Drosophila melanogaster: one gene and its partner. The main gene of each other region encodes a partner of the protein of the gene in region 2 in a complex. Each region holds a gene or a part of one and is shown on either strand. Other genes may lie near its edges.

The links.
Region 1: Sbat (region 2) and Naa35 share a complex: the UniProt entries of both Drosophila melanogaster proteins name them as parts of the N-terminal acetyltransferase C (NatC) complex.

What each region holds. Positions count from the first base shown.
Region 1 is NT_033778.4:24,129,658-24,147,223, reverse strand, and holds Naa35 (N(alpha)-acetyltransferase 35), read left to right. Parts: upstream 1-9,173; 5' UTR 9,174-9,310; coding exon 9,311-9,363; intron 9,364-9,452; coding exon 9,453-9,825; intron 9,826-9,888; coding exon 9,889-10,456; intron 10,457-10,516; coding exon 10,517-10,698; intron 10,699-10,756; coding exon 10,757-11,794; intron 11,795-11,818; exon of another isoform or gene 11,819-11,856; coding exon 11,857-11,997; 3' UTR 11,998-12,044; downstream 12,045-17,566. Other genes in the region: Zfrp8 (zinc finger protein RP-8), read right to left, coding at 12,054-12,743, 12,798-12,882, 12,940-13,208; tamo, read left to right, coding at 16,825-16,948, 17,011-17,210, 17,276-17,566. UniProt on the Drosophila melanogaster protein: Auxillary component of the N-terminal acetyltransferase C (NatC) complex which catalyzes acetylation of N-terminal methionine residues.
Region 2 is NT_033779.5:2,863,843-2,879,501, reverse strand, and holds Sbat (sabbat), read right to left. Parts: upstream 1,159-15,659; 5' UTR 910-1,158; coding exon 544-909; 3' UTR 501-543; downstream 1-500. Other genes in the region: RabGGTb (Rab geranylgeranyltransferase subunit beta), read right to left, coding at 1-238; Prx6a (peroxiredoxin 6a), read left to right, coding at 1,365-1,638, 1,699-1,891, 2,113-2,314; CG8814 (uncharacterized protein), read right to left, coding at 3,140-4,114; CG8813 (uncharacterized protein), read right to left, coding at 8,902-9,756; Ifrd1 (Interferon-related developmental regulator 1), read left to right, coding at 5,830-5,866, 7,814-8,498, 8,570-8,813, 9,952-10,179, 10,248-10,331; CG2991 (uncharacterized protein), read right to left, coding at 11,835-12,165, 12,272-12,688, 12,761-13,170, 13,925-14,020, 14,084-14,518. UniProt on the Drosophila melanogaster protein: Auxiliary component of the N-terminal acetyltransferase C (NatC) complex which catalyzes acetylation of N-terminal methionine residues. May have an accessory function in the survival motor neuron (SMN) complex.

The DNA of each region.
Region 1 (17,566 bases), on a different chromosome or scaffold from region 2:
TCTAAAATCAAAAGAAGTAAAATTGAATAAATATATGTCAGCCCGACGGCTGCCTTCAACTAAAAACGGACTTGTGTTCTGAATTGGAGTTCATCATTACACGATCCTTGACGACGATCCTGGCGTGAGAACTCGATGGGCCTGCGAGCAAACAATGAATGCCAGAAGTCGGGTCCGTTTGCACCTTATATAGCCAGCGGATCGCGGCGAGAGAGTGTATATGGAATCGGATTCGGATTCGCAATCGCAATCGGATCGGTCTAAGCGCAGAGCCCCGCACGCCGGCTGTTCATTCGCGACTGAGAGAGGCGCTGGATGGAGCCAGCGGTTGCCGGTCGAATCCATCGGTCACATAGCGGTCTATTTGTTCAGTTATAGGCCAAAGAGAGCGGATCGTGACTGGTTTGCGCTCTCTTGGGCCACCGAGCCAAGCGACCGGCGACCAGTCGGCAGCCGCTTCCTGGACTTTCCAAGATGGGCCTTTCCCCGTCGGCACTTCCGACGTTGAGGAGGGCGTTGTGTTTGTGGTCTGCGGTCAGCGGTTCTCGACATTTCCCTCTTGTCTCGCTTTTTATTTATTTTTTTTTAGCAAAAGTAAGGCGAAAAACCAAACTGGTTAGAACTGTGCTGGCTATCAAGGTCAGTTGGCCAGGTTGGATCGGCTAAAGGAGCCCGCTTGTCCACCAGGAAGGTATCAGTCGTACTTTTCCATTCTTTTCAGGTTTTTCAGATTTACGATCTCGAATCTAGTCATTTCAAACAATAGAAATCCTAAGCGTATTAATTTTGATTCCAGGCAGTAATTTCTAGCAGTGAATTTTTGGATTATTATGCACAGTGTATGTGTGTATGCACCAGCTATTTTCGCATTAGCGGCCACGGGGCGTATGAGTGATGTTACAGCGCGGAATGCTTGAGTAGCCCTTCAAGAATACGGAGTAAACAACAAGTCGAGAGGCACACCCCCGAAATATTAGCCGCAATTAAAACCCACATGGCGTATGCGTACTATTCCCCCCGCAGTGAATGATCTTTCCACGGCGGACTGCCCGATCCTCCCGCGCTGTTTTTGTTTACTTTCCGCTCGCAGCTGTCGCGTATTTTATTTTCTTCTGTTTCTGTGTTTCTTTTTCTTTTTCTTTTTCATTTTATTTGATTTTATTTTATTTTGTTTTGGCCGTGCAAACGAGCAAAGCGGAGCGCACGCCGCTGGCTCAATTAAAATGCGACAAAAGAAAGAAACACAACGCCATTGTGGAGGAGGTGGAGGTGGAGGTGGAGGTCTCTCCCAGAAATCGGTGGACACGGGGATCGGTGAATCGTCGGAACGGCGGGGGCATGTGTATATTTACATTCTTCGCCGTGCGGTTTGTTTAGTTTGGCGCGCGCTCTCCCAATTATCACCCATGAATATGAATATCTATCTCTATTTCTCCGGCTCTTTAGTTCGAATATTACGGAATTATTCCGGCCATTAACTCCCGCGATTGTTTCGTCGAAAATCTGGCTGATTTCGAATGTATTTTGCCTATGGATTATTCAGGCGGTCATAAAAACAGACCGCAATTAGCGGACAAAAAATGCAAATTGTCAACGAAACTGTTTATCATGCACAATCGCTGGAAACTTTTCATGGATAATTTTGTTTACAAAATTTATTATTTTGTCGGCCGCTCACTCAGTCACGTTTCTGTCTCTTTTTGTTTTGGGAAACTCGTTTCTGGTCGTCAGACCAACAGACGATCTCCTCTGACACTCAGATATGGAGCACTAAATTTATCTCAATTGCCCAGAGACGCGCCTCTTCGCATTGTTTGGGCTCCAAGATGCAAGATGACTCAGTTCTGGGTGACTGGGTGCAGGTGCAATTGGCGGGTATTTATACTTGGAACCACACTTGGAGGTATATCCGGTGGGTGAGTAAAGGAGGCGACGCGTTTGGATCGAGGAACCCATACTTAGGCGGTTATTTTCGACTTAATAGGTGCGGGTAGTTCAGTACCCTTGCACTCGAATCCAAAGCGTCGCTTTCGTTCAGCGAGTCATGCTCCTAATGAATCGCAATAGGTCTTAAATCTCGAATCATAAACGACGATCGCTGATTGAGCTGCCAAAATTGTCGAACGGCTGCAAAACGGGTTTGCACATTCTGTGGGGTCTGCGGATTATGCACACCGATATCGGACTAAGTGACAGATACAAATGTTTTGCGGCACCATAACTTAGTTACGCGCATAAGTTAAGTACGCGGCCAGTCGCGGGTAATTACTCAATCAGTCAGTGAAGTGAATAGAGCTCAATCGCATAAAGTGTTGATGGTGTAATTACATTGAATGCTTTGATTTGATTTAGCTTGATTTCCGAGCGGAAATACCAGTGTTGCAAAGGAGCCTAGTAGGTACTCAAGTATGGCACCCACTGCGGCCCACAGTGCGAATGAGTGATATTGCGGCGCGATTACTTCAAAGTGCTGAGCTGCCCGCCGTCATCGCCTCGTTGCGATTTGTTTGCATGCGGATAATTAAAATCACATTAACGCCGTTTAGCTGAGCAGCAAGATGGTTGGCAATTTGTGGTTGCAATCACAATGATTGAATGTTTGTCAAAATGCTTGAACTCTCTCTCAATCACTGGTCACTTTCGCAAAGAACTAGGCTTAGTTTGAAACACTTGAATATCAGTTGAACTCGATCGGATCAAGGTCCCATGCAAATCCGCACCAGGTGCCAGTGCACGGGTCATTTATCAGCATTAATAGACTGCTCGGGCATTACTTAACAATTATTTAAGGAACACGCCAAGTCGATTAAGATACGATAGCCGCGATAGTGGGCGTCCTCTACTAATTTATATGCTAACTAGGCAATGCAAGCCAGGGGATCTGTCTTAAGTTAAATAAATGAGTTATCAAATTAAATTGTCATGTTAAAAGTCATGCGTTGCAGATATGATGGCTCTCATGAGTGACAATAAAATGAATTAACTCAACTTTAATAGATTGTTTAATATTAAATATGATTAAATGAATATCATTACTTTATACATAGATATGGGTTTTTTAAGGGGTTTCTTAATACCCAAAGTAGAGTCCTCGTCCTCTTCTAAAGTCACTTGCTTCCACCACACAATTATTTACTTTTAATTAATCAATATTAATAGTTTCTCCTGCTACAGATTAAATGCATTCGGAATGCTTACACGTGTAAGAGTAGTTTGAATATGCAAATACTCGCAGAACTCACATTCAATGCTTTTCACCTGCGCGGCGGAATCGAGACATACCCACAATTAGTTGCCGCTGTCATATAAATCACAACTTTTCATTTACATTCGCCATAAATCATTCGAATTGTTCGCCGTGGGATCGATCGGTGGAATCAGTTTTGGTGATTGGACCATAAACCTGGCAGCTTTGTCACCAGCTTTTCCGACAGTTGCCACAAGCCGGAACCGATTTCCTACGCCTGGGCTTGGACACTCGGCCCATGGCCACAGGTGGAGCTGGGAGCTGGGAGCTGGCCAACTTGTGGCAGAACGTGACTGGAAACAGCGAAGGGGGAGGGGGGCACTGGCCAGAGGCTTTGAAAGTTTGATTCAACTTAATAGAGTTAAAAGCCGCCTAATCGGATTAGCCGCTCCTCCGCCGTGGCCCCCACTCCAATCCATTGCCATCGAATGAGGCACTAGCTCCGCTTGTCTGGCTGCCCGGATCTGCAGTGGTGGGTGGAGCATTTAAAAGGTTGTCAAGTAAAAGGGGTATGCTCGATCGAAGAAGCAAAAATGTTATATGAAAAATTTAGCTAGATATATTAATAGGTATTCCTTGGCTCGAAATAAAAATCTTAGATATGCAAATCTACACTAAATTGTCTGTCAACAAACACTGTAACTAAATAGATAAGCATAGTACATAGTAACAACCCAAGATTTATGATTTTTTTATTGGCAAGATATTGCTACATGAAGTTAATTATATAGAAATACAAATTTCCATAAATGTAGTCTCTACACTGAACTTTTTGAGCATGTGAAAAATGTATAAAATCTATAAAATGATAAGTTGCTGTGTTGCAAGGGTATACTTTTGAGGCTGAGTACGAACTAGTCGATCAGTTGGCTTCAAGCTCTAAAATCCATCTATTGTGCAGACTAATGCGGCATTCTAAACACATTAGAACTAATCTGCTGCTATCTGCGAAAAGTGCACGAGTGGCAAACTCAATTGTTTGAGCTGGTGAAACGGAAACGATGCAAATGGACTATCGGGCAATTCACACCAGTCATATATGAGAGCTTGAATGAGTTCACTTGAATTCATTTGAGTTCCACGCAAATTGCTCGCTTAATTCCACATCGGAAATGTCGCTTGGGCGATGCATTTCGTTTCCATAAGCGATTCAGTACCATCTGCAAATTACCCATTTAAGTTGTAAATTGCATTTTGCCCATTTCAGCAGCAAACTTCATTTAAATTCATCACGGGCCCGGGTAATTTCCTCACATTTTGCATCCTGCCACCGCTGAAAGGATGTCTGAAATCCCGACCAATTCAATCCGGGCTAGTTACCATTGAAATGCAAATCCCAGCCAGGCGGCGGATAATGTCTGCCATCTGCTGGGGCGCAAACCTAGCGAAAAGGATTCAAAGGATCTGCTGTTGTTGCAAGCAACAGTGAACAATAAGCTTTGGCCTCATCCTCCAATCTGGCTGGCGCATATACATTCGCAACACTCGCACTTACCGCCCTCCTTCTTTTCATCCAGGCAACGGATGCAACGCCAACGACATTGCGCATACGCCATGTGCGCCGAGCCGAACAAACACTGAGAAACACGGGTAAATCACACTCTGTGCGCTTATCAATTCATTGGATTTTTCGTTAATCATTGTGAAATAACATCGTACTTGAACTGTTTAATTTCCTTATCAACAATGTGTTTGCAAAGCTCTTGTGCTAAGATAGTTACTATATTAGGTTCTTATCACATCCCACAAGAGTTTGAAGACCCTCGTAAAAGAGCTAGAACTATATATTAGTTTAGATAAACATCTCTGCTTTTGCTCAGTGCACAAAGAACGCACGGCAGCGCAAATTGCTGGCAGGAAGCCAAGCGAAATCCGTGCACCAGTGCACAGGCATCATCATCACCACTGCCACCGCCACAGCCATCGTGATTATACTGAATCCTGCAGGCTGGGGGAGGCAGCCTCCCCATCCCGGTCGACTGCCTGGAGCAACAGAACCCAGTGAAGGAGCAACAGCGGGAACAGAAGCAGCAACGGCAACAAGCTGACACTTTGACAATGTTGGCGCCATTTTGCTGTTTGTCTTTCCTCTTGTAATAAAACGACATCCTCGACTGAGGATGCTCAATGGGATTCGGAGTGGCGGAGGGGGTCTGAAGTCTGAGGGCTGAAGGCTGAAGGGTGTTTTAAACACTTGGGCGACTCGGGAGTGCGGAGTCCGGAGTGGCGTGCTCCTTCACAACGTAATCATCGTGGAAGGGCTTTGGTGCGGCACGTAGTCAGGACGCTTTGTCAGTTGCCCGGGGCGGCGTCTGTGTAGTCAGCACTTTGCTCGACTTTTGTTGACAGATTGATTTTGATGTGTTTTCATTGTTATTGTTTGGCTGAGGGTCCTTTAAAGCGAATCTGGGGGCATGGGCCGTCGCTGTGCTGATTTGGGGCATCAACGGCGCTGGAAGAGGCAACAAACCTTTTAGCCTAATTGGTTGGCTCTTGAATCGCTTTGACTAATTGACAAAGGCTTTTCCGTGGGCTTACGGACTTAATGAACTCCCTGAATGGTCCTGGACCTGGAATATTCATGGAGTTTCATTTATTTAATTGAATGAGAAATGACCCTCCATAATTTAGCGGGGCAAATCGGAAAATAGGGGAAAAACGGCAAAACTTTTTCACCTCTTGCATCCAGTTGGGTCAGGGAAATCTATTGTATCAAATACAGAGTTTTCCGCATTTTACTCATTGCTTGTTTGCCTCGGCGGGTCAGCTACAGTGCAGCCTCGCTAGCTTCGACTTTAAGGATAAGATCCTTCGGTCTTGTGTGCTGTGCCATGTAGATATAAGGTGCATTTTTAGTATTAATTGGATTTATCCAAACCATCTTACTAGAGACTAGTTGGAGCCATCAAGGCCACTCTGTAATTAAATCCAATTAAGTCAGGCGTGCCGGTCGGCCAGTCAGCTTTATTGGAGCGCATTGAAAAGCCACAAAACCGTGCGGCAGGGGCATCGAATGGAATGAAATCCAATCAAATCGATAAAAAATGCTGTATAAAAGTCGAGAGTTCGAGGGCGACGAGGAGTACAGCAGGACTCCTCCTGCTGCCTGATGCTGGGAATTTCTGCTTTTTCCTCCATTGCCTGCCTGCGGCGTTGCTCATACGCCACGTTGCCCCCAAATCAATTGAAATAAATAGGATACACATGGCTCGCAGTCCTGTGTGTGTGTGTGTGTGTGCGAGTGTGTGATTTGGTGGACGTGGAAAGCAGTTGCTTCTCACATATTTGCTTTTCCCGCGGCACAGGGACCGAGATTTTCATTGCCCGTGTGCCGTTTGCTGGTATTTCATTTATTTGTCTGCTTGTTATTGGCAGCTCAGTCGTGCGTGTGGGCCACGATTAAATTTGGTCAATTGTCACGCCCTGCGGTGGACTGCCCCTTGGGGGTCGAAGACTTAAAGCCGCCCCACGATTTTGCCTTGACAACGGGTTGAGCCACAAACAAGTTCCCGGATCGATGTGGCCAACACTCCACTTCTGCCGGCGCAATTGCCAGCACGAAATGCTGGAAAGTTTTGTTCGATTGATAAGAAGGATGGTCTTTTTCTTCGCCGCTGATAAGGAACGCTATCTTATCTGGAGGGCCAGCACTTCAAACAATATGTATGCCTTGTCAGGCATAGAATCACCCCAGTCGGTCGGTGGGGTAATTAAGCTGAGCTAAGTTGTCTTTGGCATGCTACAATTTATGCTCAGCACTTGTTATGGCTCATTTCTAGCACTAATCCGTCCACTTTTTCATTAACAAATATGTGAGGTACCCACATGTCGCTTTTTGCCAGCGTCAACACATCTGTGTTTTCATTTAAACTATTTGATTTGGTCGCCTGCCAAAAAATTTAAGTTTTCGCTGTTCGCATTTAATTAGGACGTGTGTGCCGTTTGGGAAACACTACGTTCCGATGTCCGACATCTATACATATGAATTCAGATATAGTTTATAGTGAGTGTTTCGTATTTTATTCTCGGCGAACTTGAAATGGAAAACATTTGGCGGCGGCGTAAATGTCACAGCTGGATTCTAAAATAAAAATGTATTTTTGTCGGCAACTTACGCGTGAAATTGGCTAATAAGTGGGCCTAATGCGCCGCCTCCTTCGATTTGGATACCACGAAGCGTTAAATTTCGGAATTTGTGTTGGAGACTTTCGCCCGATTCGTTCCGATTCGACCGACCAAGTGAACCGTTAGCACGTTTTTGAAATGATGATGCCCAGCTTTTGCAGGCTTGAGAATCTTATATGTACTCGAATGCTAGGGAGGTGGAATTCTTCTCGCGATTTGGGACCAACGTTTTCGTGTTATTTTTTAATGGCCAACGATAACACATTGAAATGCAATGAGCAAATGAGCGTTGCTTAAATAGTTCGCCGGTCGAACTCAAAAACTCAGTCGCTTCCAATCCCAATCTCTCTGCCCATCCGTTCTGCGTTCTGCTCATTCATTGAGTGGGTTTCCTCCTCGGGCTACCAAGTTCTCTCTGCAGACTACTCAATGTCAGCGGAGGAAGTAATCAGTGGATTTAAGTGGGGATTTAAGGGAATCGCATTCGAATAAGTTATATAAATTAATATACTAAGGGGATAACATTTTTAACACAATCAAATATGTTGCATAACTCCAGGCGCTTTCTTGGCAAGCAATGTAATTATTTTTAAATAAATCACGAAATTACCACTTTTAAAGAAATCAAATAACATATTCAAAATATCTTAAAAGTCTTAAAATATTTAAACTTATATTCCATCTAAAAGTTTTAATAAATACATAAATGAATGTATTGATAAGAAGAATCCACTGTTTATGGGAACATTGTAACCTTCCGTTTAAATGAGCGTTCTGATTTGAGTAAATCGCCACTAGCAAGAGAGATTTGGGAGCCGAGGCAGAGAAAGATTGTGATTTGGGGAGAGCGAGCGAGTGAAAGTGGGGCCTCCGTGGTAAACAAACCAATCCAACCCCTCGGGCTCAGCTCCCACTCGCAACTTGGATACTTGTAACACTCGGGGTGGCGGTCAACCCCAAAATCCGTGGGGCGGGCGTTGCGCCGCGTTGCTCGAAATCCGGAGTGAAACCGCGGAGTGAAAGCGCAAGCGAGCTTTTCCGTTTCCGATAACAGCGGGAACAAACGCGTCTGATAAGGTTGTAGAATGCCTCGGTTCAAGGCATACTTTATTTGCTTTAGTCAAATCGGAGCAAACATAATTAAGTGAGACTAAAGAGAGCTCGTGCTTTGATCCGTGTTTTTTGAACCGCGGAACTGTTCTGTTCGGTCTAGGCGGTCGTCTGGGTCTCAGATAACGCTGGCTTGCACTTTCAGTCATTTTGTTTAGTTAATGGGCCAGCCGCAGTCCAATGAACTAAGCTTTGCTTGTTTACTTCAATTTTCACCTGACTCAGCATTTGAACTTGGTAACAGTTGTAACGGTCGTGGCTGTTAAGCTTAACAGTGCAGCTTAAAAGCCACCAAGGCTCCAAGTTCCACATTTTGAATGCTAACTCACTTGTTTTATGGGTAACTTACAGAAATTCTAAGCTGAAATCATGGGAAAACATAAAAGCACCACATAAATCTTTGCTGACTTTCTTTTAAATGCTTTCAAAACATCCCAAATTAAAACAGTACACTGTTAACTTCGCCAGTGCTGCCAAGTTGGATGTTGGCGGGCTGAAAAATACTGAAGGCATTTATGCTTATACCTATTTAAGACTGTATCAATGAACTACTCTTCTTTAAATTAATGAACTGTTCTATAGATTTCTAATAATCATATAGCCATTGATTATCTCCGCAAAATCAAAAATGAACTTAGAAATAGAAAATTATGACTTGTTTGGTACCAAGAGGTATATTTGCAACATAGAGGCATGGCTGACCGTTCGTCACTTGGTCACACTGGACGTTACATATTTTAATTCATTAAAAATATCTTTTATAAATAAAAGAAAATTTGTAACACATCGAGCTACAGGTTGACCGCCTGTTGAATATAGGTACAAAAGATGTATCCCTCGACCTTGCCGGCGGAGGCAGATCCGAGCACCATGAACGGAAGGTGAGCAACAGACCACCGGCAAGAACCCACAGACGTGCCTACATACAGAGCATAACCATCTAAATGCACATACATACGCATATCCACAGCAGCGTTGCAGAGCCTCCGGACTTCCAGGCTGCCACGGCGGCCGCGGCGGCAGCTGCCCGGGCCAGTAGCTTGGAACAGGACGAGTGGAGCGTGGGCGAGTGCGGATTTCTGGATCCGGATGTGCAGCGCACCATGCGGAGCGGCAGTGCTGCGGAGGACATCACCCAGTACCCGATGCACGGCTGGGTGGACGTAACCAAGGAGTTCCACGATGCCTGCGCGGAGCTGCAGCCCGGGGAACTGGCCCAGGATATGCTGTTCGGTCTTTTTGAGGCCATGTCAGCCATCGAGATCATGGACCCCAAGATGGACGTGGGCATGGGCTTCGACAAGCAGGATCTTCCGCCGCCCTCTTTCGAGGCAGCCATTGCCGTGAGATTTGTCTTTCTGACCCCTGGCTAAGCTATATGTATCTTAATAGATGACTCTTTCCAGACGGGCGCCATCAAACTGGACGATCTCACGCCCTCCGAACTGATTGGCATCTATGATGCTCTGTTTTCCTGCCTGGTGTCCTGGCTGGAGGGCAACTCCATGGACCAGGTTCTATTCACCTGCCTCTACCTGCACGCTCCCGCACAGATCAAGGATAAGGCGCTGCGCGTCTTCTGCACTGCCGTGCGCAATCTCATCGTGGTCATCAAGAAAATTATTGCCGTGGCAGCTGTCAACGAGGAGGAGGACTTCCAGCTGTACGGAAATTCTGCTCTTCTGGCTGCAGAGAAGGCACAGCCAGCCACTGTTTATAGCTCGCTAAAGGATGTGGAGGATGAGCTCATACGCAAGTGCAAAAAGCTGACTTCCACGGAGGACTGGATGGCCGTGGTTCACCGGCTGCGTTTCATGCGCCATCTTTTCCAGGTGATCTACCACGTGGAGCAAATGGCCAGCAATGATACCGTCGATGACAAGGTAGACATATACAAAATCCTGCTTGTGGCCTCCGAGATGCTTCCAGGAATAAGGAACACTTTGGATCGGGGCACACAACCAGAGAAGGGGTGTAAGTGGTCACAGATAACTTGCCAATGTAAATGCTGAGTATTTCCTTCTAAATCACTAGCTGACGCTCCCAATCCCATGGGTTTCTCTCCGCGCATCCACGACCGCAGCCAACCGCCCGCGTTTCCGCGTAGCATTAAGATCAGGGATCGTCCATCCAGTTATCAGTTTCTAGAGGAAATGATTTCGCGCTTCAAATACGCCTGCAAAGTCACCAAGTACAAGGATTACTATTCGGCGCTGGTAAGTGACTTTTTAAGTGACTTCTAAAATAAATTGTAATAACATCCTGGCTTTCCAGAACTTCTTTATCGAGTACAGCAAAAAGTCGGGCCAGTGCATCCTGTCCAGAAGCGTGCTGCAAACCCTGTTCAGCGCCAACATGCGTATGGCGCACGGAAAGCTTCCCATGAAGCAGTTCCTGCGCCACTCGGTTCAGGTCTTCAACTCGCCACCCGTATTGAATGCCAAGCATCCGGTGGCTGCCGATCCCAAGGTGCAGCAGCACCTGGAGAACTTCTTCCGTTACTGCATTAACATGAACACCTTCACGCAGTTCATTCGCATCTGCGGCTTCAATCGCGCCAGACAGCGGGATAAGCTGGCGCGTCTGATAGAGAACTTCGACACCATCCAAGTGGATGCAGCGCGATTGGACTCTATGATGAACCAACTGGCCAACGAACGAGCCATGGAGGGCAACGAGCCCATGGCCACCGCTCTGAAGCACAGCACCCACTTCTCCACATGGGTGCTGTACAACTGTTTCCGTGCGATGCTGATCTTCCTGATGTCCGGCTTTGAGCTGGAACTATATGCTGTGCATGAGTTCCTCTACATCTACTGGTATCCATACGAGTTCCTCATTGGCTTCCTGGTCTCCGCGCTGACGCGCACGGAGAACATCCTCCTGGCCCAGGAGGAGTACGCCGAGCACCAAAGTAAGACCCAGTCGGGCGGCAGCGGAGCGGCTAAAAACCGCAAGGCGGCCAAGCCGAAAAAGAACAAAAAGACTCAAAGGCCGTACCGCGCCGAGATCGTCTTCTACCACGCGCTACTCAGCCTCTGCGGCGGAATGTATAAAGCAATGGGCGCCCTGACCAAAGACGGACGCGTGCGACTGCCGCTGTCCAAGTTCGACAACGAGGAGATCCGCTACAACCGACGCTTCCTGCCCTTCGCCACACTCACCAGTCCTCCGCCAGTTTCGTACGCAGAGTTCAAAAACGTCCGGGAGCACATGATGCGACATAGCGTCGAGGATCTATATACCTATGCGGCCAAGCACTTTGACCAGGCCCGCAATGTTCTCGAAAGCATTCAAAACCCAGATCAGGAGGTAAGTCAATGGTAGTTCTGAATTGGTTTTCCTGGATTAAAATGCGTTTCGTTTAATTTCAGATGCTGGACCTCCTGCAAATCGCACGGACTAACTTTGTGGTGATGAATGTGCTGGCTCGCGGTCACCAGAAGGAAGTCAAGCGGCAGCCAGAGTTCGACTTCTCCAAACACAGCTACTTCCCCATCATCAAGCTGAAGTAAATGTTCACGTGTTTCGTAATTGACAAGAATAAAATTTAAATGTACGCATTTTAATGTCAACTCTGATCCTCCGCCACAATGTCCTGCTTGATGAGAAGCTCCTCCACGTAGCCGTCGATGGGGCAGCTTTTGGCGCAAGTGTAGACGGCCAGGACGCCCCAGTCGAGGTTTTCGTCCTCCAGAAGAGTCAGCGCTTGCGGCATAATCTGAAATTCGAACTGACGCTCTCCTCCGCAAGCAATGCAATTGGGCAGCTTGTTAAGTTGGTCCTCCACCGTTTTGACGGTATTCGTGATCCAGAGGGGCTGGCCTCCACGTTTGTAGCGCACGATCTGATCGGGTTCGGCTGCTGTTTGCTTTTTGAACTGACGAAAGGTCTTGTCATCGGCGGCCGCCGAGTTTCCGAAGTACTTGTCCATCTCCGCCTCGGAAACATTGCTCAAGTCGCCCGTCTTCCCGCTGGACTCCAGCTCCTGGAACTCCGCCAAGCGAGCCTCATCGTCCTTGTCCTCCTCGCCAGACTCCACGGGGTTGCTGTCCATTACAATCTCAAATTCTGGGAAAACGATTTGTGTTAAGGGCTTCTCAGTGGCTACTTCTGGTGCTCCGCAGTTTGGCTTGTGTTGTGGCCAGTGGGCCCTTTGATGCTCTGGTGAGCAGTAGTGGATTGCCTTGCATTTGCTGCAGGCGTGAGGAGCATGGCAACCGCAGGCGGCGCATAGTTTCTTTAGGCAGGGAACGGCGGGCTAAGAAAACATATTATGATGAGTATGTTCTGAAAATATGGCTGCTGTTCCTACCAGGGGTTGACCCACGTCGCTCGGCTCCTCCTCCGAAAAGAACTTATTTTTTCGCGGCAACTGTGACCTGAGGACTGTGAAATTGCTGGAAAGATGGGTAAGATTAGGTTGCAAGTTGGTTTTCAGAGCTAGAAGGGATTACCTTGCATTTTGGGCCTCCTGGCAGTCGGAATTCCGGCACAGGAACACATAGATGGACCGATGAAAGTTGTACTCGTCTTCGAAGGGAGCGTATAGCTGAGCCAGGAAGGATTTGGGTGCCCTGCACTTGCTGCACTGCAGCTGCGACGTGGGCGGCAAGGCCTCCAGTTCCAGCCATGCGGGCTGGCCTCCCAGCTTGCTGGGAAAGTAGCGGTTGCTCAGCCAGGCGCCATTGTCGCTCTTTTCCGCAAATCCCAAGTCAATCTCCATTTCTTTCAATCTCCGAAACGAAACTCGTGTTCAGTGTGACCGCAGCGGGAGCGCCAGAAAATACCTCTACAAATTCCGAAATAACGTTGTATAATAACTGATATTTTCGGGGAATCACACTTTTTGGGTGTTATAATTTAAAATTTAAATTAATTACATTCGTTTAATTTGTTGATTTCGGCAGTTCAATAAAATAAAATATTCTTTTCTTCATTGAATATTTGCGATTACTCTTATAAACATAAGGGGGAAACATAAGATTTTAATTTAATGACATTAATCTGGAAGAATAACAAATCTCATTATCCTGAGCCCTTAAAAATGGCAAGCGGTTCAAAATTATAGAGCGAGGATTAATCAGATAAGGCCCCTCTTCTACGCCACTGATAATAAAGCTTGCATGCCATGGATTTGGTATTTTCCGCGAGTTCCTCCATGGCGATTTCCCAGATTTTGGCCACTTCAGTATGCGGTTATTTCTCACGGTTAAAAGTTCTGCTCTCCGAGTTGATTAAACTGGCTAAAGTGATATTTTATTTACTGTTGTGATAAACGCGTGTGAAAAACAAAGACTTTCCATTGCCCGCGGACACAAACGATCACGAACCGAAGAGTGAACCGCTCAGAAACGGGGGGAAAACCAGTTTTCCCACGATTTGATGTGATTGTGAAAGCGCAACGAGATTTGTCAACGCAAACAAGCAAGAAGAAGAGCCCGTGGATAGCGTAATATTTGTTAATAATAACGGCTGCAAAAACAACAACATTGCGGAAGCAGAATCTCCGACTTGTCGCGTTTCCGTCGCAGCAGCGCTAAAAATAAACCCACCCACGCACCGCCCCCTCTCGAATCGCCAACCACCCACTCCCGCCCACCATCCACCTACCACCACCTTCCGCCCACACCCACGCACGAATTTGGAGAGGTGAACTTGTGTTGACTTTTCCAGCGCGCGGACTTTTCCGAAGAAAAATGCAAAAATGAGAGCCGAGCCACCAGCGGACCACTGGGAATTTGCGTAAGTCCAAGGCGGATGCTTCCTGGTTTCGAATTACAGGGTATCACGTGCGCTGCTGCGAGCTAGTGAACAAGAAGGCACCAGATGTTTGATGGAGTGCACATAGAGAAAAGTTTGTGTAGGAACTATTAGGTGTCCGGTACAGGGTATCTCCGCTTCGATGCCCCTGGCAGTGGCTCGCTTTCTGGCTGCCAAAGAACGAGCCGGGTGAGCTTTTATTTGCTAAATTTAGTGCCGCATTGCTGAAAATAAGAATGGGAGCACCCTGCCATCGGTTGCCGGTAGGCAGACTCATATATATGTATATGTATATGCATAATCGCCCCTGACGGCCAGTGTGTGGTTCGGTGGATCTTTGTCCAGGGCACATGGCCCGAAACTGTTGCATGGCCCATCCTCGTCCTGGCCAATCGATGCCTTCGATGCCGACTTCGACTTGGAGTGCTGCCTGAATCAATAAACGCCTCAAATCCCTGCCATATTGCGTCCATTGTAATGTCAGCACATAAATTCTCTGCCCATCGAGGGGCATTTTCACTCGGCTGCAGGCATTCGGTAGTGGTATGTACGCTATGTGTCCTGGCCAGGCAATAAATATTGAAAATTCAATTAGCAGACGGACGGGCAGCCGAAATGCTATGAATTTATCACCACCTGAGTGCGAATGTGCCTGTGGTACTCATAGTAAATAAGTAACTTCATTGCCATTCGGCCCACTCCACTTGCTCCACCTGCATGCTGGCTATTGATTTTAATCCGCCCTGCAATCATCTTGCTTCATTTGGCCGCTGAATTTATGGGTTCCCACGAAAGCTCCACTTTCTTCGGCCCGCTTTCCCATTTCCCCCACTTCACATTCCCATTCCCACCAACAATGTGTGCTGTTTCGGCGCTGGAAAACATTAATTAAAATTCACTGGACTGGGAAAGCTATCAGTTGCATGCATATTCAATTGATTCATTATTACAGGACATCATACATGTAATGCTCAGCTCATTAATCGGTTGACAGTGCGTTCCTTCGACTGACTGTTTAAATTCCCATTTCAATATTGTTGTTAACTAGTAGTATGTATGTACGTACATATGTACATATGCTTATGTACGACTTGAACCCAAGCAACTAAATAGGAAATTGTCAGTATGTGTAGCGTCGAAATTATTGCATAAGTAAATAAATTATAGAGGATGAGAAGGGAAGTCAGTTTATGTGGCTTGCATAAGTTTGTTTTGATATATTTGATAATTATACGCTTATCACTGCCAATGTTGTTCTCTCCGCACACCGCGTTTATTCGACTCCTCTTGTCACCACTTCGCCGTTTGCTCAGTTGCACTACACTTGTTTATCCACGCCCGCCTTGCTGCTCATTCGCATTCTGATTGGAGCGCCGAACGCCAAGTGAGTCACTCCCCAAGGTTGCTCAGCGTAGTGCCTCTCCGGTGTTCTCAGTATCGAATGCCAAAGGCCAATGGACGATCTCTGGCTCCACGATAGCCGATATCAATATCGAGTTAGCCAGTCAAGTGGCTCGGTTCTCCGGCTGGCGAGGGGGGAGATAAGGGCAAGCGATGCAATCGCGAGGCTTCTGGGTTCCTATCGAGCACTTGTGGGCTTTCCTTCGGGTCAGCGAGCAGATGATACCCAGTTGGGAGTAGTATTTGCCAGGTAAAGCTCATAGATAGTAAAGGGCTGGAGCTTGCTTTCCGGTTATCTATTATCATCACAACAAGTGAGCTCCATTATTGCGCTCACTTTATTTACTCTACTTATTTTCGCGTATATTAGGTAAGCCTGGAAATTGTACATGATTAGCATTTCTGACCTTATGACTCACCGAAGCAAAGCTACGAGCAGCCCCACATTTAGTTGATTTCTATACAATTCGCTATCTTTTATTTCAAAAATAAACCTTAGATTAGATACGCCTTTGCAAATAAACAAAGTATGCTGCAGAGTCTTCCTGGATCTCCACCTAGCAATCATAATAAAGGGCTTCCAGTTGGTTTGAAACCCCATAGATGGACTCTACTTAGTGTTTGGTCATGGTGATAGTTTTAGCTTTGTAATTTCTATTAACAAAAAAAAATTTGTATTTATTGTAAACGAAATCCCCTGAAACAGCTTTTCTCCCAGCCAATGAATCAGCTTCCACTGCATCGGGGAGCACAGTAGACGTAATCACAAGTGAGCTTTTTGTTGTCAACTGTTTTTGTCCGCGAGGGGCAAGTACTGGTTGCTTAGGTGCTCCGCTGGCTGGGAGGAAACTGATAAGGACTCGGGAATGCCACTATCGATGACGGGCCCCAATGGAGCCTATTGTTTGCTCTTATCTGTCCAGTTATTGTTACTCCATTCGAGCCCAGTTGGTTGTTTATTTGTTTGTTTGCTGCATGCCGCGACGGCGTGCGTCATGCGGGGAAGGATGTGATTCTGGTGATTCATGCCAGAGAAGTGCATCCCCACCCAACCCCTGGTGGAAAATCAATAGCCATGGTGGCGCGCTCTGGGCTCTCGAGATGTTCGCCGTAGTGTAACCTTGTGTTCTTGTTTTGCAGGAGCCGGAGGCGCCTTGAATGAGAGTCCTTAGCCCGAGATGTCGGATTTCGTGCCGCACGACCTCATCCCCGATCTGTGGGATGAGATTCTCCGGCGCCACTGGATGTTTCTCGAGACGGAGGAGAGCATAGAGAAGCTCGAGGAACGCAAGCAGCTGGAGGGTGAGTTCGCCGCCTTGTCCTTGTCCTAAATGGAAATGGAACTAATCAATCCGCGCTTACAGGCTGCCTGAAGGAGTTCCTCTGCGTGGTGCAGCACGATCGCAAGTTCTTTCTGCCGGAAACTGGGCATGTCCTGCGGAGGTCTGTGCTCGAGCTGCCCGACTTTTCGGCCCAGAACGCCATCGTAGCCTTCGAGACCATCAGCCAGTATGCCAACAATCTGTTTACGAAGCCATGGCGAAAGGAGTATCGAACTCTCAAGGTGGATATAGGATGATGACGTATACTAAATAGCCACTTCTAACTGAATAATCCTCCTTTCTGCAGACCTATTCGGGATGCTTTCAGCACGACATCCAATCCCGCCTGCTGGACGCCGAACAGCTCTTCCTGGCCATGGGCTATCGCCGGGCTGCCGAGGACACCTTCGTCCTCGAGGGTCCCATCTGTCCGGATCAGGTTACGAATGTTTCGCGCGACGCAATGGCCGCCTACGTGGAGTGCCAGATTATGAAGCACATCTACGCGGGAGTGACGGCAGCGGGATACGTCTGCACTTGGAAGGACATCCTACAGTTCCGCGAGCGTTACGTGGGTGGAACTTCCACGACCATCAAG
Region 2 (15,659 bases):
TGCGCTCCAATCGCTCCAGCTGGCCCATAATGTCCAGGGCAGTGGTGCCCCAATAGATGCCCGACATGCGCAGAAACTCGGTCATGCAGTACTCGTAGTCGTCCTCCTGCTTCCCATGGTTCTCGATGTACTCCACATGCTTCCAGAACTGCAGCTTCTGGCCGCCGCCATCCGCATCACCACCACCGCCGCTGTCGCCACCGCCATTTGAGGGCTTTACGAAGGTCGTGAAGTCCATCGCTGATTGGGCTCAATTGAATGAGTATCGGGTGGCTGGCAGATCCTCTTCGGCGCGCTGTTTCGCTTGATTAACTCTATTAATTGGCAGGAATAGTGCTGCGAGCAAACAAATAACTCAGTGAATCCAATCGAGCACAGCTGATTCATCTGCGCGATGGTTGGCAACGCGGCAGTGGCTTATCAAACAGCTGATCGACGCAGGGGCGTAGTGTGGAGGGGTTTACTATAACCCCATCCAAAAATAAAAATTAAACGTACTTAAATTTCAAATAGCTAGTTTATTTTATTCAAAACACATGCACACTATTGCACCAGCAGGCTGGACTGCGGATCCGGCTCGTCGATGCTTAGGGAGACTATGTGCTGGCCGGGAACCATGACGTTGCCCAGCAGGCGCGGCTCCTGGCCCTCCACCAAGTACTCGGCGCACATGGACAGCACGATGTTGGCGTCGCGGTCCGTGCAGTTGAAGAATCCCACCAGCACGCGTCCGTCCGTAATCACGATCCGAAGAACTCGACCCAGCCACTTCTGGAGCTTCCTGCGTCCCGGCGTCAAACTGGCATCGTTCATCTGGTGCGGGGCGTTCGTTGTGATGCGGAAGGGCTCCGGTGGTGTGCATGCGGGCGGGGGCATCACCTGCTGGCCAGTGATGCTCAGTTCTGTCATGGTTATATCCTCTTTGCTCAATTTAAACAAATAAATGCAAGAAATTCTCAGCTTTTTTTGTGTTTACACTGCGCGTATGTGTGATATAGTGTGCGTGTGTATGAGTAATGGCCAGGGATGCAAGCACGTGTAAGTGGTTCGGTTCACTGGTTCACTTTTTGAGCTCATAAATTCGAAAATATACGAAACACTCGTTTGCTTGTGTCAAAGAAAATACTTTAGATTTAAAACACTTAAAGGAAATGATTGCAAAATGAATGCACACAATGAGCCTTCTTTTTAACATCTTCATACGAAAACTAGTTCTTTTTATATTTGCATCCCTGGTCGAGCTGAGCTTATAAAGGTAACGGGCACCCTAGCCCAGTCAGCTGATTTGCATTTTGCGGCAAATTTTGTTTCGCATTTATCCAAAAAGCTCGTAATTCGTCTCTTGATTTTTTCAAATATCCACCATGTCCGGAAAGGCTTTAAACATTGGCGATCAGTTCCCAAACTTCACGGCTGAGACCAGCGAGGGTCGAATCGATTTCTACGACTGGATGCAGGACAGCTGGGCCATTCTGTTCTCCCATCCGGCGGATTTTACGCCGGTTTGCACCACGGAATTGTCCCGGGTGGCGGCATTGATTCCGGAATTCCAAAAGCGTGGAGTCAAGCCAATTGCACTGTCCTGCGACACCGTGGAGTCGCACAAGGGTTGGATCGAGGACATCAAGAGCTTTGGCAGTGGGTTTGGTCACTGATTTCTGGACAGGAATCGCTTCTAATTGGCGTTTCTGTTCGCAGAGCTGAGCTCCTTTGACTATCCCATCATTGCGGACGACAAAAGGGAACTGGCGCTCAAGTTTAATATGCTGGACAAGGACGAGATCAATGCCGAGGGCATTCCCCTCACCTGTCGCGCCGTTTTCGTGGTGGACGACAAGAAGAAGCTTCGCCTGTCCATCCTGTATCCTGCCACCACTGGGCGCAACTTTGAGTGGGTATTCCAATATCTAGCATTCATCATTATCTATAAAGTAATGCTGTAATGCACTTTAGCAAACAATCGTGCACTTAATCGCATTAGCAGATAATTATTTAATGAAGTATTATTGCTGAAAACTAAGTACTAACCTTGCATATAATAATGGAAGTTAAATAGGAACGATTTCAAGGTCAATTAATCCGACAAATTACATTTAACTATATCCTTTGCAGTGAAATCCTTCGAGTGATCGACTCGCTCCAGTTGACCCAAACAAAGAGTGTCGCGACGCCGGCGGATTGGAAACAGGGCGGCAAGTGCATGGTCTTGCCCACCGTCAAAGCCGAAGATGTTCCTAAGCTCTTTCCTGATGGTATCGAAACCATTGAGCTGCCCTCCGGAAAGAGTTACCTGCGGATCACTCCACAGCCCTAATGGATGACAAGCGTGCGCTCTCACTTTTTTTTTGCTTTATTACAAAAATTATAATTAACAACAAATAATGCACAATAAAGTATACGCTTACAACCGTATTTTCAGTAGATCGGCGCTTTCAGGTGGCTAAAACTCGCCTTCTGCTGGACAAAATTGCCAAAACATTCGACTTACGAACTAAATCAGATGGGGAATGTGACAAAAAGGTCGCGATTTGTGTGTACGAAATAAATATACATTCAATATACATATATAGACGTGTACAAAAGGGGGTAGAGATATTGCAACTGGATAACCATGGGGGTAAGTAAGGTATAAATAAGGCCAACTCTGTACAATAACTGAAGCGCTTTCTAGGATAGAAGAAAGCTAAAGACCAAGCTCGTGCCCGTAACCGAAGATAACTGAAAGGAAAATGTTTACATTGGATTAATTTTGGTGGCACAAACAGTATAAAGTTATTTGTAATAGTGACCATTCATTTAAACTAATAATTGGAAACACATGTTACTGATAATTAGTTTAAACAGTGGATGCTTGAGCACTTTCCCTTGCCCAAATACTCACAAGATATATTCCACAATCTGAGTTCGCATAGAGATCGTTACCTTGAATATGTTAATGAAATGCAAATATGTACAAAATAATGTATGATGTAAAAGCTTTCGCTACGAAACAGGTTCCCTATGCTCTTAAATTCTCTTGACTGCGGGAATACGTCTCAAATATAAAGTGGGAATGGTAACATATGCCTTTGTCTAGTTGCGTTGTACTTACAATTTAACTACCACATGTTCCGCCCTCCGCAAGTATAGCTTTCCTGCGTCAGTGCCTGCGCTGCGGATTGGACTGAAGCATCCGCGCGAACCGCCTCACCAGGAAAGGCCACAGGATGAGGACGGCAAACCAGAGCGGGGAGATGTTCCTGAAGGGCCACCAGGCGGGCAGTGATCGTGGCTGCGCCACCGTTCCTTTCGCTGCCTTTTGGCCGCTGCGAAGTTCGTTGAGCGACTGCTCCAGGCTGCGAACGCGCTGCTGCACTGCGCCCACATCGCTGTTCATCCGTGTGATAGCAGCCTGGATTTGACGCAGCAGGTCCGTGTTCTGGCCAATCGCCTGGGTCAGCTCGTGGCTGAGATCGTAGGGATCGTCGTACTCATCGTCCGAGGGATCCACGATGGCCACGCTGCTGTTGCTCGTAAAGTTGTGCGTGTCATGTTGTGTGTAGCTTGCTGTTGGCTTAGGTCCATAGCCATTGGTCAGTGGCGGCGAACTATGGCCATTCTCCTTAATCGTTTCGGATGTGGCCAGCGGTGCGGTGCTAGTCGCCTGAGGTTCCGGCTCCGGTTCGCCATTACAACTGGAGCCGTGCTGGGGACTGTTGGTGCGCGAGTGGAACGGCGAGTTGGGATGCGACTCGGCCAGCTCCTTCATGCCGGGCGAGACCAGCTCCAGTTCGTCCAGGCTGATGTTTCCCAGACTATCGAGGCTGCCCACAAAGTTCTGCACATTCTCCGTGAACGACATGGTCTCAATGATCTCCTGCAGGCTCTCCACATAGCGCTGCATCGCCTCCTCCTTGGTCAAGTGACGGTTATCGTTCCATGCCTGCCACTTGGCCTTGCCTACGATGTCCCAAAAGCCGGGCTTCTTGTCCACATCTGGTCTACCCTCGGTGGCCTGTTTGAACAGCCCGTAGAACTTGAGCATCATGCTGGTGCTGGGCTGGTAGGGGCCATTTTTGGGCAGACCCTTTATCACATTGACTGCCGCCTGGAAACGCTCCTCAATCGCCGCCATACCTGCAAGATTATCCCGCGATTAGCCAGGGCACTCGATCGATAAGATACACAGGTACGAAGGCTGCCATATAGAGGCGGTGCCAAGTTCACCTTGTCCAGGTGAACGTCGCTTACAAATTACCTAATTATTGTGTGCAATCCGCGGTGTTGCAAACCCCACTTTCGGCTCCCCCTTTTGTTGTTGTCGTTCGCTATTGATTCCGATTCCGAATCCGAGTCCAAATCCGCTGCTGGGCATTCATGAATTTTTGGGTGCGACGTTCGTGGATGCGCTGCTGTGGTGCCAAAGTTCGAGTTCTGAAGTCCAATCTTCTGAGCTTCGAATCGAATCGAGTCGGCTGGAGCTTTTTCTTAGTTTGGCCCCCGTTCTTATCGACCTCGCTGAGGAATTGTTGTGTGCTGCGCCAACCGCTGTCGTTCCAATCGAGTTGCAATCAAATAAAACTAAACAAAAACCCGAAAACTCTCTCTGCAAATCGCTGAGCGCGTACGTGTGAGTGTGTAGGTGTGCATGTGTGCGGGTGGCGCAGGGCTGCAACGAAAGTATCGATACAGGTGCAGAGTGGAGATGATATTTTTGTGAGCGCGAATATCGCGATTTAAACAAAAATAAGAAGTTTTTATTGTCCATAAATAAAATTATAAATTAGTATTTTGCGGAAAAGCATAGGACCAATCAATGAATTTATAAAGTAAGATTATTTAGTTTTATTTATTTCCAGCCACATTTAATTATAGGTAAATATAGGTATAGTAGGGTATAATAGGTATAGTATAGGTATAGTATAATTATAGGTATAGGCTTTATCGAAAGTCAACTATCGCATGAGCGCAGACTTCCATCTTCCATTGAATATACCGCTATTCATGGTATTTTCCAACGTTCGCGCATACGGTCACTCACTTTTTCATTTCGTAAAAATCAGCAATCGAATTAAGTGCTTAATTATTTGCATTATTTTTAGAGCTTTCCGAAAGCTGCCAACGTAAAGTCCGCGAAGCGCCTTCACTGGCCGAATCGGAAATAGCAAAATCGAAGCACCAGAGATCGAAAGACAGCGCATTCGATTCGATTTCACAATAACTGCGAACCGAGGGCGGAGTGGGAGTGTCTGCCAGCGCGGAGAAAAGTGAACGCATTGCAATTAAACATGAAATTTGCTGCAACGTCGACGGGAGTACGACATTTTTGTATTATCAACGCCAAGCAGCAGAGCCATCAGAATCAGCAGACTATATATAAGATACGGCCGCAAAAATCGCGATCGGAGTTGAACAATTGCAAACGGCAAAGACAGTCGTGTAGAATTGCCAAAAATTGGAAGCACCAAAGTTTTTGCATAGGTGCGTCCTGATCGGCAACGTTTCGGGTTAGAAAGACAAAGATTAAAAAATTGACAGCTCGGCTCAAGAACGCAATTTAATTTCCTAACCTAGAGCATCAAAATCAATAAATCGGAACCAACACGTGCGTTTCAGTAGTTGCCGCCAAAGCAACGAAAGTGTAGACATTTTCGCCGTTGTGTAGACTTCGACGCCTGTTCTCCACCTTTTGAGGACCCAGAACAGGAAAAGGACACTCGGCTACAAAGCATCTGTTTTTTTTGTGTTTCGTACCTTGTGTTTGAAACAGTAGGCTAAACAATAGAAACCAAAACGTCGTCGTCGAGTTCAAACAGCAAAATACCTGAACGACGCAAAAACAACAGCAACATGCCGCGACGCAACAAGAAATCAGCAGCAGGCAGAGGTGAGTCACAAAGAAAAGAGAGTGTGTGGGTGTGCACAGAAAAAAAATGCGAGGTTGAACGTATCCAAATGCGTATAATATATCTATTGGATACGAGTGTGAACTTCCAGCTGAAACAATTGACTTTATAGGCTTAAAATTAGTTATTTTGCCTTTAGTAGCAACATTTTGGGTTTAATTACCATCTTAACCTCATGGTTTTCTTGTTTTTTACAAAATAAACGAATTAAATCGCACATCTGAACAATAGACTTAATAGTATATCCCCACAAAAGCCGGCGAGGGTAGGTGAATTTTCACAGCTGCTTTTCGTTTGACCTTTGCATTAGTCATGCACTGACTAATGAGTACCGTGCACTGTTTGGTGTATTTCGTTGGCTTCCAAACGAAGGAAGCTTCGCTGCCTGCAACCTGTTTGTCAATACCCTCGAAATGAAATAATTATTTTCGTTTTGTTGCTGTGCTGGCACCAAAAGCTTCACGCGCTCAGCTGGCTGCGCAACAACAAGTAATCAGCGGTTCACTGAAAATATATATACATACGTATACATATGTAAATTTATACAGCTTTGCCCACCAATAATAACAATATAACCATAGTAATTTTGACAAAAATTCCAAATTATGTAATATAAAGTTAAATAGCTGCATTTCACCAAAGGAGGAGGTTTTAAGTTTCTGCGTTGTTTCTATGTTGAGCACAACTGTATATAAATATAAATATACTTGTTCGTGGAAAAACATACGTACACATATGTATATGTATATGTGTACGCTCAATGCCAGCTTATCAGAATCACGCCTATAACCGAATACCTCAGTGCAGGGTATCAGTGGGTATGTTTTCGTAGGGCGTATCAAATTATGTATTCTATTTAAGTGCTCTATTATGCTAAGTTATTATTCAAGCTGTACCTATTTATATAGTTAAATATCCGAATTGGTATTTATAGGCTCATCATACAATCATTTACAAATATTAAATTTAAAAATAAAGAAGCGGAAGTTGTGGCTCTTCGGGGAACTTTCCTCGCATCTAAGTATATACCTCATGGGTGACCTAAAAACTTACGCAACTTTGTGTTATGCATTAGTCGCTCTCAAAACACAGATGGTTTACTCGCCCGAATCTAATCCAAACAACTTTCAAGCAAAACCAGCTGTTTTCCACTGCTTTTGATTCGTTTTTCTAGCCCGCAGTTACCGCATGCTTTTGTGTTTGTAGTTTGCTCGCAGCTTTTGTGAAAGGCAAAACAAAAAAAAAAAAAACACAAAAAACGAGGCGGAAACTACCTTGCCCCAAATAGAAAGCTGAAAACAGGCACTGGGAAATCGCCACAATGAAAGTTGTGCTCTACGACGGGTTTTCTTCGACGCAGTTGGCCAGCAAACAAAGTGAAACATCGAAAGATGGATAGAAAACTTGTTGCACAACATTTGCGGCTCCCGAGCTGTTTTTCTTGAAGGTCATTGCTGTGTGGCAAAGCGTGTAATTGAATTTCTAATTTCAGTACATATACATTTCCCCATCTAAATGAGCACACAAGCAATTGAATGAAAAGCTGCTCGAAGACGGCAAAACTTGATGCCTCTTTTCAGCTGGTTTGACAGTTACTGAAGGGAAATGTGGGCACTTGCATGAGGGTGGTCCCAATATTTTACTCCATTTAACAAGGAATACAAATGGGGTTCTGAAAATAGAATAATCATTACATTGGTATTCACTGAGTTTCCATTTGCAAAATGCTTAGCTTACATTCCAATGGGTTCGTTGAATGCCTAAAATGTGCAATTAAGCATATTGTTCAAAACGATAGCTGTTGAAAAAGGCTCACAGGTCGCATTAGCATAATAAATATTTATGAATTATGCTTGAAAAACTCGCTGAGTATAGCAAAATACTTCAAAAAAAAACCTTATTAATTACCCAAATGATTTCTTTTTCAGGCCGCACCAATGACTCCAATTCTGAGGACGAGTCCTTTGACAATGTGAGCGTTTACTCTCATATGTCCGAAGTCGCATCCTCGGAGGCCACCGACGAGCTGGCCAATGAGCGTTTCGAGGAGAAGTTCGAGAAGGCCCTGGAACAGGCCACCGAGAAGTCGGCCCAGACACGTGTGCAGGCTCTGCAAGCGATTTGCGAACTGCTCATGCACCGCTACATGCCGGACTTCGTGGAGGACCGCAAGATGACCCTGATGGATTTCGTGGAGAAGAGCATCCGTCGAGGCAAGGGCCAGGAGCAGGTGTGGGGCGCACGACTCGCGCCCCTGCTGGTGCTCCAAATGGGCGGGGATGAAGGCATATCCAAGGCGATGAATCAATTCCTGTTGAACACCGTTCAGGACAAGTCCGTGGGCTTCGATGCCCGTGCCAAGTGCTGCACAGCTGTGGGATTGTTGAGCTTCCTGGGCTGCGAGGATGTTGGGGAGTTGGTACACCTGATGCAGAGCTTCGAGGCCATCTTCGCAGGCAGTTATTTGCGTGGCGATGACAAGACACCGGTATCCGTCACCGCCGAAGCTGGGACTTTCCATGCGGAGGCCTTGAACGCCTGGGGGCTTCTACTAACACTTATACCTTCGGGGGATTTTGTTTCGTTGATGACCACTGGCCAAAACATGTTTCCGTAAGTTTGAAGAGCAAGTTCCATTTAACTTTCAAACCCATTGCTATAATTGTTTAAACTAAACTTTGCAGATCTATTAAGAAGTTCTTGGGTCTCTTGCAATCTACACATTTGGACGTCCGCATGGCCGCTGGCGAGACCATTGCTTTAATTCTGGAGTCGGGACGTGCTCACGAAGAGGATTTCCTAGAAGATGACATCGCTGAGTTATCGGAGGCCGTCAAGCAGCTGGCCACGGATTCGCATAAGTACCGCGCCAAGCGCGATCGCAAGGCCCAGCGTGCCACCTTCCGTGATGTGCTGCGATACCTGGAGGTGAGTTGAAGATTTGCACGAGTGCTACGCTTAAACAATAGGGATTACATTTATTTATTTGACTCGAGATGCACTAGTCTTTGGACGATTACTTCATGTCAGTGCAAGTGAACTTGAGCTCGTGCTTGCAGTACTTGGCCAAGCACTTGGAGTGATCGTGCAACTTGTTGCGCATGATGACGCAGCCGTTCCGGCTTATCGAGTCCATGTACTCGCTGAAGGTCGGCACCTTCCGGTATGTGGTCGGGGCGGAGTTCCAGTGCGAACTGCTGCCGGATTCGATGGTCTGCGAGGAGTCCGAGAAGCTGGTCTTGAATGGCTTGTAGTTCTTTTGGCACTCGTCGCTAGACATCTCGTAGCCAGCGGACGCCTCCCGCTCCAGTTCGTTCATCACGTTCGAGCGGAACTCGTTGCAGGGTCCACGTTCGCTCATCAGCTTGTTGGCGTTCTTGGACTCGTCCTCCGTCTTTAGGCTCTCATAAATACCCTCCGGGTACTCGTTCATGTTACAGTAATCGATCTGATAGGTGGTGTTCATACGGTTGGTCTCCAGCCTGCGGCTCAGCTCCTCCTTGGGCATGACCTTCAGGCGTTCATACAGATCCGGGTAGACTGTACGTAAGATCTTGAGAAAGCGGTTGGGTTGCAGCTTAAAGCAATCTGTTTCCGCGGAGAAGGCCATCTTGTCCACCTGGTCCTGAGTCAGCTGGGTGGGTATGATACGCGGATCCACCAGCTTTCCCATTGGCGCTATGCCCGTCCACTCGACGCCGCCACAGTCCTTAGACGCGTTCGGCGGCATCATGATCTTGGACTCGTCGACGCATTCGCACTCCTTGACCTGCGGACCACTGTGAGCCTCGGCGCCCCTGGGCCGCGTTAGAAACTCGTACCGTTTGGCACTGGGCGGGACATAGTCGTGCTGATAGGTTGATAGCATCATCTTGATAACGAAATCTACAAAACTAATTGGCCAAAACAATTTTTTTTAGTAGTTTTTTTTTTTTTAACGAGAAATTTGGTCTGTTTGATCTGATAGAGAAACTAATAGTGATACATTTCAAAATCGTACGAAATGAGATTAGAATATTTGCTCGTAGCCTAGCCTGATTTTAAAGTTTTTTTTATCTCGTTGCAGGAGGACATTTCCCCAGAGATTAGCATTCGTTTCGGTACCGAGTCGCTGACACTAGATTCCTGGTCCATCCATCATCAGTATTCGGCCATGTGCACTGTCATGGGTCCCGGGATGACCTCGCAGCTGCAGGAGAACGAGTTCATCCGTGACATCTTCCAGCTGGGACCACGACCCACGAACACAGGCATCAATGGAAACGCCAAGGTCAAGCCGACCAAGCTGGAGCGGGTAAGTTGATTGAAATGTGTTAACATTCGCTTCAAATTTTAATATATTTATATTTGTTGCTTTTGCAGCACCTTGTGAATGCTGCTGCATTCAAGGCACGCTCCATAACACGTGGAAAGAATCGTGACAAGCGATCGGCCGTCGTCACTTAAACCTGTGCTTCACCCACCAACCGTTCCCATCCACAGACACCCAAACCAACCATCTCAAACCCCGTTAGCCAACTCTGGACTTACTAGTTGAATTGTTTCTAATTTTAGCTTGAACCAGGCAAAGCGTCGCCAAAGCTGAAGAACTAAGTCTAAATTTAGGATAATTCAGTGTAATCTACAAAATTTCTCTAGTTTATTAACCACATGTTGGAGCCATTGTTTGAATATTATGAAATATTTATTGCGTGCACGCACAGTGGTTGTTTATCAGTAAGTGCATGGCTGGCTCCAGCTTGGATCTTATTCTTTGTGAATTTAAATTAACACTGCGATTGTTACGACTGGCATTTACGCTTTGCGATTTGGGTTAACCTCTTTTGTTGTTGATCTTTTTAAATTACAAGCGTAGGAAAACATAGTCTGCTTTAATGCTGCGAAAAAGTTATTCATAACTTGACATGGCTTTTAATACGCATAATAAGCGGCTCTATGAATACATATATTTTGTAGTAAATAAGTGTAAAATAAAGTTTAGGCTTAAACGAAAACTACTTGAAATGCATTCTTACTGGTGGGGATACAACAATGGACTCCTTTTTAGAAAACACTTAAAAAACAGTTTGCGTTTTATAAATTGTATTTTATTTGTTAGTTTTATCACAAAAATTGTATGGTAACTTAAATTGTATGTTGGATTCTTTCCTTTTGTGGATTTTGTTTTGTTTTTCTTTGCTTTGACAAATTTTGTGTAGTAACTACAATAAAATTTATATATATATATTATATATGTTCGTGTGTATGTATATATGGGCGCAGCTTATACAAATCAGTTTCTTAAGGAGTAAACTTAAAGGTTAATAAGAAACGTATTTCCATCAAGTACAAATTAAAAACTTGTTTGCTTAATTTAATATTCGCCAAGTACTCGTGTTTTGCTTGCTTCTTGTTTGCATCCATGGATGAAACCGATAATGAAATGAAGGAAATCAAAATGCTTTCATAATTTAGGTGTAAATAAAAGAAAACTATAAACTATAAATCAGCATGGGGACTGACTCACTGGCGCATCTAAGCACTATCTTCTCGCTTATTCGCTCTTCAGGCTACTTGGCAACGCGTTCGTAATCATAATCTCAGGATGTTCTCGTTTCTGTTTCCGTTTCCGTTTCGCTTTCGCAATTGATACTGACCTACACTTATTCTACGTAATATTTGGCTTCTTGTAATACACTTTGCTTCTGGAAATCTGCATGATAATTTGAGAGACGAAATTCACTCGTTAATCGAAACGCTTTTCGCTACTCTTCTTGTCTACTCGCTAGAGATTTAAACCTATGTACACGGTTGAGGATAGAAAGGCGGGTGCTAGGACCCACCTCGCGTGTGATGTGTAAACTAATAATTGAGCATTGAGCAAAACCTGTGCAAAACGCATGCTAAACTAGGTAAGTAAGTAAGTAATGTTTTGTCTGTGGGGGTTCAGCTGATGTGTGTGGTAGCCTCTTAGGACGCAGCTCCCGCCCGAACCGCCTCTGCGGAGGTGCTGGCGCTGACCTCCTCGCAAATGGTGTGCAACTTCTCCATCTCCGAGCTGGTCACGATGTTGATTGAGCTAACTTTGGCCCGCTGATAGGCCACCACGGTGTTCTCGCCCAAACACTTGACGCACACATAGCCAATGAGCACGGCGATGCCCACTGTCATCACGCGCACCAGCGGATCAACGTACATTTGGATCACCACCCAGGCGGTGGCACCGGTTACGCACATCAAGGTGATCAATATAACCGTCTTGGACCAATGCTGAATGGTGAAGCCCTTGTCCCATTCGAGTCTGTAATAGAGTGTCGTGTTATCAGTTATTTACCATCAGTTATAAAATGGTCTAACTGATAGCTATGTGGCGGTGACCCATTTCCCTATTTGCAAATGGCACTTACTTTTTGGACTTTTCGATCTCGTAGGGATGTCCGCAGACCTTGCACGACAACTGCGCCTCCGAATTGCTGCAGCTCTCCACCAGCCAGCGCTTGAGACACTCGTGGTGCACCGAACTTACGTCGCCAGTGCAGCGGCAGGGCTGGATGAGGGGCTCTGGCTTGTCGGAGTCGTAACAGATCCAGCAATCCTTTTTGGTTAAAAACGACTGGCCCTCTTCGGGCGAGAGCTTGTTGGTCTCCGCATTTAGAGTGGGTATCGACGGATCAATTTGGCGGGATAGAAGCTTGCGAGGATTTAGAATCCAGAGCTGTTCAGGAGCCATCGAGTTCCAAAGGCAGCAGGGAAACCAGAGAGCCACACCGATCTCGGCGATGCGAAAAATGATGTCATGCCAGTTGCGCGAGTTAACTGGAACCCTTTGTGGTGGCGAAAAGAAAAGCTTTTTGTCAAATTGGCAGCTGCAAAACTAATTAAAAGCCTCTACTCACTTGGTCTTCCAGAAGTCGCCCAAAGTTTCGGAAGTCAGAAAGCCCACAATCACGATTAGCATCACGGCCTGAAACAGCAGTCCGAATCGCGACTGATGCAATTGTGAGGCATTCACAATTGCCTCGCTGGGACCGAGAATCTTGCCCGTCTGGTCGTAAACGAAACCGCCGCGCAGCTTAAAGAACACTTCCACGCCGTAGATGAGGAAGAAGACCACCACGATCAGGAGTAATACTGCATAGCATCCGTTGAAGATGTGGGCGTAGTCGCGACGCTCCGCGTTGATCAGCGAGTTGAAGACCTCTATGCCAAACAGGCTGTACAGAAAGAAGTTGAAGGCCACGAAGCCGAGGAAGCTCTTCGACAGAAACTGCGACTTCTCCCAGCGGATGTCGCGCAGGTGAAAGATCTGCAATGGCGAACGTAGCAAATGTGAATGAGTACCCACGCCGATTTGGTTACCACTAAAAGTCGCCCGCAGTTACTATTTATATTCCAGATCAAGTGCTAATATACGTATGTACACTCGCCACCCAGCTTAATTACTTGTGTCAGCCTATCGGGAGGCCCCAAGATAAGTTGTGCCAAACACAATAAAATTGGCTCGAGTACAATTGCACTCGACTCGTTATCGCGCATCTGTTAGATACGAAATATGGCAAGTACAATTGGACGCACTTTGCTCGATAATGGAATTCACATCCCAGTACTGAAAGTTCTCAGGGTTCGGGTGCGATCAAATACGACTACGTCAGGCTGTCGTTCAATCGCCATATTTAAGTTAGTGGTGGACTCGTGACTTGAAATACTGCCTATAAGTTCTAACTTATCACCAAAATTTATAAGAGTTTGTAGCACCGCGGAAACGTTATCTGTATCTTAAGTGTTAAAGACGCTTAGGGATGAGAATAAAATGAAATATTGCAGGTCTTGCTTACATATAGTACTACTGGACAAAAGCTATTCGATGCAATTGAAGAGGTATATTATTATGTAATATTTGCAGATAGTAACGTTTACTTGTTTACAACCTTATCTTTTGCTCATGACTGTCATAGTCCTAATTGATACCATTAAGATTTCATTTTCAAAAGTACACAATTAAGCGAAATTTTCTATTCTCATTTATCCTTCCTTAAATATCTAGCTTATCGTGGACTCACCTCGGCCCACATGCAGACAATTAGCGAGGCGCAGGTCATGAGCAATGGATAGTAGGCGGACATCAGGGTGACAGCCCATTGTGGCTGCAGATCCAGCTGAAATGCAAGGAGATTGATGAAATCAAACGATCCGATCGAAGTGGGATTGCGTTTACTCACGGGTGTGGTGAAGTAGGCACCTCGCAACGAGGCCGCCACAAAGACCATGAAGTAGAGCAGTTTCTGGGTGGTGATGCGACAGGCGCGGAGTACGGAGGGCTGCTTCAGCCGCTGATATTCGGCCACGATGCAGATGAGCAGCTGGATGACCGAGACGAGGGCCACCACGTAGAAGACGGTGGAGATTCCGGCGTAGTAGGGCAGATTGAAGATGTCGCACTCGTTGCCCGCGTACCGAATGTCGCAGACGCAGGTGTTGTTGACGCAATCGCCCCGTCCCGAGCAGCTGAGATCGTTGTCCGGCGTAAAGGGGCCGTAGATGCCCCCGGCGGCCGACTTGCTGTGCCCATTCCGCATCTGGCTGGCCGCCGCCTCCAGCGGCGATTGCAGAACTCGCTTCGAGCAACGCATTAAGGTATCCAGGCTCGGCAGCATCCTATGCTAAATCAACTGCAAATAGAGCGAACGTACATCTTAATTAATACATCAGGGCAGCGCAAATCGATAGTCCGGCTAGATAAGCAACAAACATCTAACAGCATGATACTCCCCGCCAAATGTGGGGCCAAAGGGTGTCATTTAAATAAACATTGAATTCTGGTGTCTGGACGGGCTGCTCGCTGGCTCTAAAAGCAAATGCAAATGTTTGCACAGCCGACGCAGGGCAATGGTGGCATTAGGGGTACTCTCTCTACAACTCGAGTGGTTCACTTTCTGTGGCCCACAAAGCATGCACAAATGAAATATAAATTGAAAAACATAACTATGGTTCTTACAATAGGAATACATATCTACCTTTAAGAACAAAGAATACCCGAATTCTTTAGGCGATAGTTGAAAAATGTCATATGCGTGTTTCAACTACCTACGATTCATTTAATTAAATAGTATCTGGCCTAGATTCTATCTTCGATCTTAGCTATACACTATACTTAAAACAAATATGTTAATGGAATATGGTTCAACCCCTACCAACCACAAACACACAACTGACAGCCACCCAGAGTGCTGATGGCACACGGAGGAATATTTCAAGAGGGTAAACTGGGCCCGCTGGCACTTGGCATTATTATGCCAGCAACGATTCTAAGCCGGCACAGCCCAACCTTCCGCTTCCGTCCGTCTGTTCTGTCCGTCTATCAATCAAAAAGCACACAGGGACATCTGAAATGGCGAGAGACTGGGGCATCGATAATAATGCCTGCCAGCAACTTGACACCCACGATATAACACAATGAAGTACGAGTAAATAAAACCGATCCAACATCGGGACAGGCCACAAACTGCAATTCCATTGAGCTGTCGTTCTACATTAGCCAATTGAAATGCTCTTCTTGCTGTGGTCAAAACCAATTGATCCACATGGCCACATAGGGAAGGAAAGGTGTAGAAAAGGGTAGGAAAGGGCGTACCGACAATTATTACCTATTAACTGGGATATTAATTACAATGCGATGCTTAAAAACCTTTTTTGAGCTAATTGCTAAATTTGTTTTTAATGGTTATGAGGTCGTTGTGTCCGTCACAGCAAATATATTTGCTCGTTTCGACCGAGCGCAAGTGTGTTCTTTTTTTT